Linked DNA regions of Oryzias latipes. The protein of the gene in region 2 purifies or fractionates together with the protein of the main gene of each other region. This does not show direct contact. Links are inferred from orthologs where the notes say so. Each region holds a gene or a part of one and is shown on either strand. Other genes may lie near its edges. The genes, in order: sike1, stk26 and slmap.

What was found.
Region 1: the proteins of stk26 (region 2) and sike1 purify together in Homo sapiens (affinity purification with mass spectrometry; 4 studies listed by BioGRID and IntAct, with this or other methods). This does not show direct contact. The link is inferred for Oryzias latipes from reciprocal best matches to the Homo sapiens genes STK26 and SIKE1.
Region 3: the proteins of stk26 (region 2) and slmap purify together in Homo sapiens (affinity purification with mass spectrometry; 5 studies listed by BioGRID and IntAct, with this or other methods). This does not show direct contact. The link is inferred for Oryzias latipes from reciprocal best matches to the Homo sapiens genes STK26 and SLMAP.

Annotation. Positions count from the first base shown.
Region 1 is NC_019865.2:1,582,156-1,586,478, reverse strand, and holds the start of sike1 (suppressor of IKBKE 1), read right to left. Parts: upstream 2,900-4,323; 5' UTR 2,629-2,899; coding exon 2,470-2,628; intron 2,347-2,469; coding exon 2,241-2,346; intron 2,168-2,240; coding exon 2,025-2,167; intron 1,927-2,024; coding exon 1,813-1,926; intron 1,075-1,812; coding exon 967-1,074; 3' UTR 59-966; intron 1-58.
Region 2 is NC_019876.2:4,690,814-4,694,461, reverse strand, and holds part of stk26 (serine/threonine-protein kinase 26), read left to right. Parts: intron 1-2,442; coding exon 2,443-2,628; intron 2,629-3,128; coding exon 3,129-3,271; intron 3,272-3,344; coding exon 3,345-3,441; intron 3,442-3,537; coding exon 3,538-3,600; intron 3,601-3,648. UniProt on the Homo sapiens protein: Serine/threonine-protein kinase that acts as a mediator of cell growth. Modulates apoptosis. In association with STK24 negatively regulates Golgi reorientation in polarized cell migration upon RHO activation.
Region 3 is NC_019863.2:32,540,498-32,544,660, forward strand, and holds the start of slmap (sarcolemmal membrane-associated protein), read right to left. Parts: upstream 2,843-4,163; 5' UTR 1,383-2,842; coding exon 1,185-1,382; intron 1-1,184. UniProt on the Homo sapiens protein: Associates with the striatin-interacting phosphatase and kinase (STRIPAK) core complex, forming the extended (SIKE1:SLMAP)STRIPAK complex.

The DNA.
Region 1 (4,323 bases), on a different chromosome or scaffold from region 2:
AAAATATTTGTTTTTCGTTTTCAGGTTGACAAAACCGGACAAACACGACTCTATTTACCCAGTTTAATGACACCATCTGCCAGGCATCGGTCCAGCTTCCTCCCCAGTTCCCTTTCAGACATTCTGGATCCGTTAGCTTAAAACGACAACTGTCAAATATAGGGCTCATGCGGCGTTTAGGTTCTGTGGGAAATCCGAGCTTTCTGACGATTGTCTTTTTAAAATGTCACTTAAATGTGACAAATATTGTTACAACCAAACTAATGGAAATTATGAAAGTTGCGTGAAAAGGTGATTTGATAGGTTTTTAATAGCCTAAAAGCGTTTGCGCTGTACTTTTTCCGATCTCGCGATAGGTTTTTAGTAAGTTGACTCGATGCTGCCGCCCTGCGTTCGAAGAAGGGACAACACCTCAAATGCCTTGGAAAAACACTTCTTTTATTATTATCGTTTGATTTTGTTTTACACCAAACCATGAAGTTAAACTGAATTCCTGAGATGAAAACAGAACGTTTTTCATTCATACAAAAAAATTAAAAAACACCTACTGCACAAAATGCAACAGCACAAACCAAACTTCTGTTCATTCAAACAAACAGGTAAATATAATCAGAATAAACTGCTTGTTTTCCCCAAAGGTCCTCTCTGTTGTGAAACAGAGCGGTGCTTGGCTTTAATAGGAGGCAGTAGAGATTGTGTGAACATCAGGGGTCCAAAAAAACTATGACGATTAAATATATATCTTTGGCAAAAAAATACTTTAAATCTACTTTGACAGCACGTGTTAGAATCTAATAAATACACCTCAAAGAACAGCTAATTGAATGCCGTCCACAGTAACACTTTAATTATTATCTTAGCTGCAGACAAGATGATAGATCTTTTTTTTGTATTAAAGATGCCGTATGACTTTCTATAAATAAATCCATTTGAGGGAATAAATTCACACGCAGAGCTCGATGGAGCTCATGAAGTCGGTTCTGCTGCTTCAGGCTGGTGGGGTTCTTCTTTTTTTGACATTTTGATGCTTTCTTTGCTGATGACCAAAAGGTCCTGAAGCTCCTTGTTCTCAATCTGAAAGAGAGAAAAAAACCAAGAGACTGAATACTTTCCTCCCAACGGACTCCATCTACTACTTTTCTTCTTCACTAAAACAAAAGATTTAAATGTGTACATGTGATAAGATTTACACGTCTTTCACAATTAAAATGTTGTACTGCCTATATTGTTTGTTGTTCTAGATAAAAGAAGAGTATGAAATAAAGACAAATGCCTACATTCTCTGTATTAAAGTATTTTACATAGAACATTTGAAAAAAACCAAAGTCTTGTTAAAAACGCCAACCTGGGACTGAGTTGCCTAAACACAGCAGTTTTCATCATTCTTAGTTTTTTTAATGTATATAAAATGATTTTATAGGAAAAAAGAACATTTATGCAATAAAGCTGCAAGAATCAAACAAATATGTGATCTTTAGAATGTTTTACTGGACAGCTTCCTGTTTTTTAGAAAAAGACATTTCGTTCAAAACCTTCAGGCTACAACTTTATCTCTGGAAGTTTTTAAGAGAAAAAAAAAGGTTTCTGTAAGTTTTAAGTGACGCAGTGAAGTCAGATCTGGAGGTGAAATGGATGGATGGACCAAAACAAAAGGAGTTCCTTCTCAGATCTTTGGTTCTTGTGACAAACGTCTGCTGTTGTGAAGGTTTTCGTGGGCCCTCCTCCGTCCCCTCTGCTGCTTTTAATACTGCTTTAGGGGGAAGAAATGACCTCTGACCTCTTGGGGAAAGAGGCTCGATCGTCGGTACTCACCTCCAGCTGAGCCAGCCTCTCTCGAACGGAGCAGTAGTGCTGATCGTCCACCTGAACGGCTCTTCTCATCACCTGACCCATCTCGCATATCTGCTCCACCTTGTTCTGCACTTCCTGTAGAGACAAGTAAAAACGCCACGAGTTTTCTCCCAAAGCCGGCCCTCAAAGAGACGATGTCACGCTGCACAAAGATGGTGTGAAAGACGCTGTACTTTGGCGTAATCCTGGTGGAGGCTCAGAACCGGTTTGGTGTCCAGCTCCTTCTTTGCCATCATCAGCTGCAGCATCTGCTTGCGGTACCGACCCATGATGAGTTCCAGAGCGTACTGGTGTTCTTCAAGAGACAGCCATAATTCTGAGGAGAAAGTCCACCCAGAGGGTTAGAACAAACACGACCCACCGTGGAAACCGCCCGAACAGAATCCTACCTTTGTTCTCCTGCTGCAGATCCTTGATTTGAGTGTTTTCTTGGGTCAGAAGAACATGAGGTTTGTACTTTGTGAGCTCCCGTAGTTCTGCATTGTCTTCCAAGTGCTGTCAAACAAAATGTACTAACATGTTATTTACTAGCAAAAGTTATCCATTAAAAAATCCCACTGGTATTTTCAGCAGCTATGGCCGCCCAGCACCTGAACGTCTCATCCGCCGAGTCTTTACCTTCTCCGGAAGGGCATTTCCCACCTCCTTCATGTCCTGCACTCTGCGGCTGAGGGCCCCGGACTGCTCGATCAGACCCTCGGCGGCCGTGTCGTGCTCCTTCAGCCTCTCGAGGAGGGTCCGAGCGTCGCCCAACACTTTCTCCAAAGTGCAGGCCATTTACTGGAAAGCGTCAGGTCCGCGGGGCGACGCGATCGAGCCCCTGCTTCACGAGCGCGGTTCCAGCGAAACTCCCTCCAACTAAGTTGGCTCGAGCTCGGCGCGTAACCGCGGCGCTTCCGAGCACAAGCCTTGCGGGAACTTTCCCGCCTAACGCCTGCACTGTTTTCACACGGTATGGAGAAAACGGTCAAAACAGCAAACAAACGCTTTAAAAGTACCCCCACCTATCCGTCAAGCAGACGATACACTGCGATCAATGATGACGTCACTTCCGCGTTTTCCCCGCCCCCTCTTATGATGCATTCAAAGACAATAATGATAAGGAAAAATAATGATTATCAATGAAAACGAATTAATCTACAACAAAACGTACTAATTTCTTTGCAATCAGAATCGAATAAAGTATATGAAGAAAAAGCAGGAGAAGCCTTTGTTAGATCCAGAAGAAAATGGTTAGAACAAGGTGAAAAATGTACTAAATACTTTTTCAACTGAGAACAAAGAGATTTTGAAATTTCCTGTCTGCGTCAAATTAAAATTGGTAATTCAATAAGTGAAGATACAAAAAAGGTTTCTCAATATGTTGCAAAATTCTATCAGGAAACTTACACTAAAATTTGCTTTAGAGAAGAAGATATTGAACTATTTATCAACAATATTAAAGAAAAGATTGGAAAAGTAATTGAAACCTTTGAAAAGTCTTGTGACCAGAAAATTAAAACAGAGGAAGTTGAAAATTGTAGTAAATCTCTTAAAGATAATAAAAGTCCAGCAAATGAAGGACTAACAAGTGAGTTTTATAAATGTTTTATTGCCAAATTAACCTCTTTTCTAGCTAATTTATTTGAAGAAGTGTTAGAAATTGGTATATTGCCCCCAACTCTCAGACAAGGCATCATCAAACTCATCCCCAAACCACAAAAAGATAAATTATGCATAGAAAACTGGAGACCAATTAGTCTGTTAAACAATGATGCTAAAATATTTGCTCTCATTTTTACCAAAAGATTAAAACCAGGACTGGATAACATTATTGAAGAAGAATGATCTGCTTTCATGCCTGGTAGAAATATTGCCAACAATATCAGATTAATACTAGATATCTTCTTCCTCTTTCGGCTTCTCCCATCAGGGGTCGCCACAGCGAACGCGTGGTAAACAGGGCGTGGTAAATTTGGCAACGTTTTTATGCCGGATGCCCTTCCTGACGCAACCTTCTCAAACTGGGCTTAGGACCGGCACAGAGGTAGAGAAGGGAGCAGGGAGCAGCCTGGAGTCGAACCCTGGTTTCACGGACAGAAGGCGCCGCAAACACGAGCTAAACCGGCTCCCAGATTAATAGTAGAAATGATTGATTATAATGAACATATTAGAGATGATGGTTTTATCTTATTTGTTGACTTTTACGAGGCATTTGACATAATTAGTCACAGTTTTATGACTCCAGTTATAAAAGAATTTGGATTTGGTAAAAGATTTTTAAAAGTGATGGAGGGTCTGTACAATGGATGCAACAGCTCCATTAAAGTTGCACATGGCACAACTCCTAGATTTGACACAAACAGAGGAATATGGCAGGGATGTCCTCTTAGCCCTTTCCTCTTTTCACTAGTTGCTCAGGTTCTGGCCCTTCATATTTAAAAATGTCCATTTCGAGGTATTACAGCTTTGGGAAGAGAATTTAAACTCTCT
Region 2 (3,648 bases):
ATTCAGTGCAGATCGCTGAGTCGTGAATATTTTTACACATAGTGGGGTGTGGTAAAAAAAAGTAATGTACTTCAGAAAAATTGCAGCAGAATGTTTTATATTAAGTATATAAAGTAAACAAACGAAATGCGCTACTGTCACCGGAAGTTGATGGATTTCCAAAGTAAAGTGTCAGTGAACGTCCTCATTTTTCAAAGTAAAACTATCGAGTTTTTTTCGTAAATAAAAAAAAAAAAGACTACAGTTCAGTTTACTGACATAGGTTCTGAAAAACGGATTTTGGTTAATCATAGTCAACAATTAAAAAATACAAAATGAAAAATATTTCTAATGAGACTTTCTGCTAGCATGAACGTGTCTGCAAAATCTAAAATGTTGGAGTTTTTTGGTTTTTCTTCTAAAAATAGAAAGTCAGCTTATAAAACAGGTCTGTTGGAAAGACTGTTGTAGTTTAGATGAAAGGACAGTCGATGTTTCCTACTTGTTGCCTTTTTATTGAGGTGTTGCTGCGTCTTCATTTACTTTCTTCTTAGCATCGACCCACTTGAACTCCAGTCGGTAAAAGTTTGAGGATGGAAAAACATTTTCCGTTTTTTTTTTTGTTAAACGATCCAAAACATTTACGTTTGTTTTGTTTACTGCTGAAGTTAACCAGGAAGTTGACAGAAAAAGCTATGAGTGTGACGTTATTTAAAGTGGTCAATATCATTTCTTTCTTTCTTTCTTTCCAAATCTTTGTTTTTATACGTTAAGTTGATTCTGATCTCCTGTTCTAAGCAAAGGATGATTAAATACACATTATTTTCATTCATCGCGTTCAAAAGACAAGCGGTGCGTTTGTGTGTAGCCACATGCTGCCATATGGTCGGTGTGTAACTGTAATGGATCTGCAGAGTTGACGTTCTAGCAGTAACCGAGCGTCCTGTGACTCAGCACCATACTGTCTGTCTGTGTGTGTGTGGGTGTGTGTGTCTGTCGGTGTGTGTGGTGAGGGTTTGTGAAGGGTGCCACCGCTACACAACTGTCAGAGTTGAGAAGACTCATTGTTCTGGACTCTTAGGCGTTGATGAAACCTTTTCAGAGTTGCTTCCTCTAGGGTTGTGTGTTGGCAAGACTCTGGGGATTTCCTGCTTTTCTTGGAATCATTTATGAAATATTTGATCAACACGGATTTAAAGGCGCATCGTCAACGAATGGTCTGTTTTCAAACATACGGCACATTGGACTATACGGCACATTAACCGAGACCAGAGTCAGGCATGAATCTGCCAGTCAGTCAGACTGATGTTTACAGGAACTCTAGAACATGTTTGTAACACGCTACAGGTATAACAAACACGTAGCCAGGTTAGAAGCGCTAGCTGGGTCAGGGTATTCACAACGACTGTAACTTCTAAGCTCGTTAGGAGAATCTGCTAAAATAAACGTTACTGTGACTTAGGGCTGTGACGATAACCGCATCACTGCACGTTTTTTTAATTTGAAAGTTCTGCATATGGCGCGTGATTTGAACTATAATAAACACATTAAACACATTCATCTTTGCTGATAATTTACTTTTTCTGCTAGTCCTGTGTGTAGAAAAAGTCTTCATCCTCCACTGCAAGGGAGGGCGGGGCAGCCCATTATACATATTATGGGGGTCCTGACACCATGACTCTTGCTGCTTCATCACAGCGGTGGTAAAAAATCCCACACCGTCACAGCACTACTGTGACTACGCTAACCCCCTAACTTTGTTAGTAACACGCGGTCCAAAACTGCTACGGGTTGGCTGCGTCAGAAGCGTTAGCGTAGTCACAAGGCCTGTAACTCCTAACCTCATTTGCAACACGTAAGAAACAATACTTCTAAAATAAAGTTTGTTTCTCTGACTATGCTAGTTGTTCGTAACAGTCTAAGGCCGAAACAAACTGTGACCACGCTAACCCCAAACCTTGTATAAAAACACTTTTAAAAAAGCATAGCATAGAGTTAGCAGGTTCACAATATCTGTAACTCCTAACCTTGTTTGCAATGCATAAAAAACGATGGATACCGCTAAAACATAATTGTGACTACGCTATCTCCCAAACTTTTTAGTAAAGTTTAAAAACAAAAAATTCAATTCCGACAACCCGATATGTTCGCTAGGCTAGCATGCTAGCATGAGATGGTTCTGGTGCTGAGCTGCTGAAAGAGTCTTGGTGTGCTGAGCTGCCATCTCTTGATTGGGGGTGTAAGTGGAAAAGTCGGACACTGAACTACATTTTGGCGTATAAATAGCTAGTTAAAAATGTTTAAAATCCATACAGGTCTTGCCATTTTTAAAAATCTGATCCAATATAATCTGACTGACTGACAGACTCATGTCTGATCAACACACATTTAAAGTCGCATCGTCAGCGAATGGTCGGTTTTCAAACTGATGATGATGTTTTCTGCTCCTGTGTGTCTCTACAGGCAGACATTTGGTCTTTGGGCATCACGGCCATCGAGCTCGCCAAAGGGGAACCGCCAAACTCAGACATGCATCCCATGCGCGTCCTCTTCCACATCCCCAAGTCTCCTCCTCCCACGCTGAGCGGAGACTTCTCCAAGAGCTTCAAAGAGTTCACCGAGGCGTGCCTCAACAAAGACCCGGCCTTTGTACGCATCCAAGTTACTTTCAATCAAATAGATGATTTTTCCATCCTAAGGAGGTCAAATCGTGCTTTTGTCTTGATACAAATTTATATCTGTACGTCTTCTAAAGTCATATCCAGCTTTTTGTTGTGATAAAAAAGATTTTTAGGTGTTTTGAAGTTTTTAAAGTAACTATAAGAACAACTTAATCATTTATTATTAAAGAAAAAACAGAAATAGTTTTGTTTCATGTGGAGCTTTGGTACCAAATGGAACATTTTGAAACTTTATTTTTAGTTACTTTGCACTCCTGTAAACGTAAGGCCGCTCCATGAAAGTTTTGTTGTGTTTTGCTGCCACCTAGTGGAAGAAATTATTAAATCTCCTTAATTTGATCAATAAACCTGAGGCCAAACATTTAATCATTTTATATTTTTTTGCCTCTTACTTTGAAAAAATCTCATTTCCTCTTTTTTTTTTTTTTTTTAATTCCCCTCCTTTGGCTTCACTCTACGGTCCTGCAGCGGCCGACCGCCAAAGAGCTGCTGAAGCACAAGTTCATCACCAAGCACTGTAAAAAGACGTCTTACCTGAGCGAGCTGATCGACAGGTACAGGAGGTGGAAGGAGGAAGGTCACAGCGGCAGCAGCTCCGACGACTCAGACAGGTGACTTCAGGGCTTTCTTCTGCTGCTGCTGCATGTCGGTTCAGCGCCTACAACTGTTTGTTTGTGTGAGCAGTGAGTCCAGCAACAAAGAAAACGACATGCATCCTGAGTGGTCCTTCACCACCGTCCGGAAGAAGAAGACAGAAGGCAGGATGGTCCTCAACGGGACGGTTAGTCGCAGTATCTGGTTCCTCGGGAACCTTCATCCTGATCCTCCGATGGTTTTAGGGCATTCGGGTTGAAGCAGAAATGTTCTTTATCTTCAGACTCCAGAGCAGCTGAGTAAATCTGCCAGCCTGAGCACGGTCATCTCCCCGGTCTTCACTGAGGTGAGCGTCAAAATAAGAGTTTAGTTGAAAGACAAATGGTCTTTTAAC
Region 3 (4,163 bases), on a different chromosome or scaffold from region 2:
AGAGGCTCAACACACCAGAGGGAGTGCACTGCACAGATTGAAACTTAGACCTGCTCACCGTCAACAACAGTCCGCTAACGTAGACTTCATTTCTATGCAGTCAATTTAGTCAACCAAAATGTGCATAAAGCCGAGAATCCAAAAGGAACACGAGTGCTGATGAGATCTTATTCGCCCCCTTAAAATAAAACTTCATTAAAATTCACTGTGGATTTAATTTTTCTATATTTGTAACTCTTCTGATGGATGTCATTGGAGCAGTATCACCATGTAGGAGCTCACTACAGGTCAGACAAAACACTTCTAAAGAAGTGGGACCTTTACTGATGGATGCTGGGAACTGGAGAGATGGAGCCTCTAACTCCCAACTAATTATTTTACATTCTGTGTACTTAACCACATTTAGGATGTCAAATAAGCTCAACAATCAGAATTATAGATTTAATAAAAAATTGGATTTAAGTTGACACATCTGTGCTATTGTGGTACTTAGCTTTTGATATGTCCACACATACACCACTTTAAAATATAAATCCTACATGAAATAAGAGATTTACATTTTATTTGACAAAGTTAAACGTTTCAGTTTGTCATCATCAAGTCAAGGATTTGCTCGTTTCTTTATTTGCATGCATTTACAACACAATAACTGAGTCAGACTTGTAGGTACTAAACAGGATTTAATAAATACCCTAAAGACACTCAGGTATGTTCTCCTTGGTTGCACCTTTCCTGCCTAAGGTGTGCTGACGTGTAAGGTTTTAACTTTAGATCTGGCAACTCCCATCGACATTGAAGGCAATGTTGGTTTTCCCAGGAGAGCAAAGTGTCTGAGTTCTGCTGTGATCCAGCATGTAGTCAAAATGCATGTTAAAAACTCATCAACGGCGTTTCAAGCAGCTTAAGAAAAAGCACATATTTGTGACGACAGCCCACCCAACTGACAATCCAAACACGGACCGCATTTCTTTGTCTCACCTCTGAAATGTAGCGTCAGACACACCTGAGACATGTGGAAAACCTCAGCTTGTCCCCAATACAGGACATCAAACCACCCATTTATGCAGGTCAAGCATGGGTTGTACAAAAAAACAAAACCATTTCATAGAACTGGAACATTTTGACCTGTGGAAACATGTGATCAGTCAGCTGGTAAAGGTTACGCAGAAGCGGGAGGTTCTCACCTTGCCAGTCTTGTGGTCAAACCAAATAAGGGCATGATTTCTGGACAGCACCTTGCAGTCGAAGGTGGCATTGTTCTGGGCAGGGCGGCACCGAGCCACCGACCTGCCGATTTTGACCGGCTCATCCAGGTACACATGCCGGTCCTGGAATGGGTGCGAGTTGGGTCGGCAGGCGAACACAGCCAGCGCTGAAGGCATTGATTTTAGCTTTAGAGTGTTGCTCCAACCAGATGCAACGGACAGGTTTTCTTGATCCAGGTTGGCAGGTTGTTGTGGGAATCCCTAACAAATAATCCAAAATATAGGTGGCCTATACGTAGGCAGAATGCTGAGTCCTTTATTCCTGTAGGCACTGGCTAATATGCATTGTCCACTTGGGTCTCACAGCTTCACCACTTTGAAGTAAGACCCCCTCCAAAAAAGGTTTAAATTAAAAAAACAAATCCACGTGTATAAAAAGACAAGACATTCCTTCCGCTGGCTGTCCACTGAAGCTACATTACGACTTATATTTGACAGCCAATACTATGTACAGCCCAAGGTGCCATATGTCAAGACCAACATGACTGAGTGGAGCTCGGACGGGCTGGCAAACAGCCACTCACGTCCATCAAACGGAGCCGTGGAGAGGAAGCGGCGGCCTGCAGACGCGGATCTTTTCCCCCGCGAACCAGCAACAGGTCACTGTCTATCCCAGCTGTACGTCAACCGCGGTGATATCTGCGCGCGCCTTTGAGCTAATGAGCGCGCGCGCACACATACAAACACTCACGTGAACACTACACTCCAGACAAACACTCAAAGGTTAGATGTCCGTTGTCTCCTCTCCGTTTGTTACAGACAGTTTGTCGGAATCCATGACCCAGTTGACCTGGGACGGAGAACCTTATCGAGCCCACAAACGTCACGTTTGCCCCCCCTCCCCTCCCAAACAGAACACCTAACTGATCGCTAATGATTGAAACCTAGCTAGAAGCAACTCCTGAGTTACGAAACATCACCGGTCAACATGAAGCATCCACGCGGTCTCGACAACTGCTACAAAACTCAAGTCTCAGTCGGGACAAGGAGGAGACTTACGAACAGTGTTGTGCATTAAAATGCTAACAAGCTAGCGAGTGGACAGGGGGAAGCGCTAACTAACGGCCAGCAGTAGACCTGCGAGCTAAGCTAGGCTAATGAGTACCGACAAAGTTATCACTTGGGTTCTCATATCCTCTCTCCCTGCCCTCCTCAACGAGTTCGCTTACCGGGGGGACGCGATGCGCCATCACTGTCCCATAAAGCGGGCAAAACCCGAAAGCTTTCGGGCTTTTTTCAAATTTAAGAGTCCCGCAACCGAGCGTTAGCATCAAGGTGAGCTAGCCCGCAGCTAGCCGGCTAACTGACAGGCGGAGCGGAAAAAAAATCGGGAGTTTCTAGACTGCGGCTCCTGGCGCATCACACCGAGGCGATTAAATTCCAGAAGAAATGTCCGCGAAGGTCGTTACGTACACCGCCCGTCGTCTACGGTAGCCCGGCTCGCGTTTTCCGCAGCGGGCGCGCGTTACAGCCGTCGTCGTCCGACAGTCTTGTGGAAGGAACCTGGAAGAAGTTGTTCTCCTCCGTGAGTCCGAGCCGCCATACTGAAAGTACAGGCGTGGTGCGTTCACTGTCCAGATCACAGCAACACATTGATCAAACCATCCTCTCTGTCCAATGGAGGGCCGGGGAGCACAGACACTCACTAATACGTAATCATGTTGAACGCGCTCAGTAACCTCAACGATGTAATCAAGTAAATCAACCTACAGTCTGGCTCCAGAAACTTTTTTCTTTTGAATTTGAAGTTGGATTTGTTTTCTACAACAACCATTCTGGAGATGCTATTCAATGCAGTATTTCTTTTTTTAAGTAATCACATCATAGTTAATTTACAAATAATAAACAGTGAATTAAGTCATGAAAAACACTTGATAATTTACTACTAATACATTTAAAGTATCAAAAACAAGCAATTAATAAACACCTACTAAAAGGTTTATGTACATTTGACACTCAAACAGCCTACAGAATGAGGAATGTCATACTGCAAAAACAGGTCCACATTTCTTAATCCATGGGCAAATTCTCTTTAAATTAGCAATAAAAAAAAGCCATAGGGGTAAGAAAAAAATGGTCTAACCAAGAAAAAAAATCTAGACATGTTTTCTTAAACTACGATTATTTTGCTTTTGAAAACGTTATAATTTTTTTTCTCAACACAAGGGTCTTCTTACATTCTTAAGGTTGTCGATGAAGACTCTTATTCATCCAGGTTGATTTCATCTTAGTAGGAGGTTTAGGGGTCATCTGGACTTAGGTTTTAAAGTTGGAAGACGTTTCACCTCAATTCTGTCCGTTCTTAAGGCTGTAAAGTGAAATATAAGTTTACGCCATTCAGCATTTAAGATTTTGCGGTGTACATACAACTGCCAACCCTAACCTGCAGCCGCGTACTGACTGTCAATCCACAAAGCATCTAGGAAAATCTGCTGATTTTGTAAAAGCTTTCCAAATGACTCAGGGAGTTTATTTCAAACACATGGACTTATCCTGCATCTGTGAGGTTTTCCTTTATTACTGCTTCATTCTCTTCTTTTCTCCATGCTTGTACTTTGTACCATCAAAAATGTTTGATTTTTGTTTGTTCTGAGGGAAGAAGAACCCGAAATACTTCATGAGATGTTCACATGTCCTCTGAGTGGTGAGAACAATCATCACTTTTTAGTGTTTTTTATGTTTCTGACAGCGTTATCATAGCTATGGAAATCCCTGACAGTCTTATGACAGCAGTCATTTCCATGAAAGGATTTTGTTCAGGTGACTCGCTGTGAGACTGGGATGTGGAAGGAGGTCAAATTCTGCTGATGCTTCCAGAAAACATCCCTGTTGTGCTGAAAACTGAGAGCAAATCATTGATAGGGACCACACAACAGGAACTCTAGAAGACATCACTGC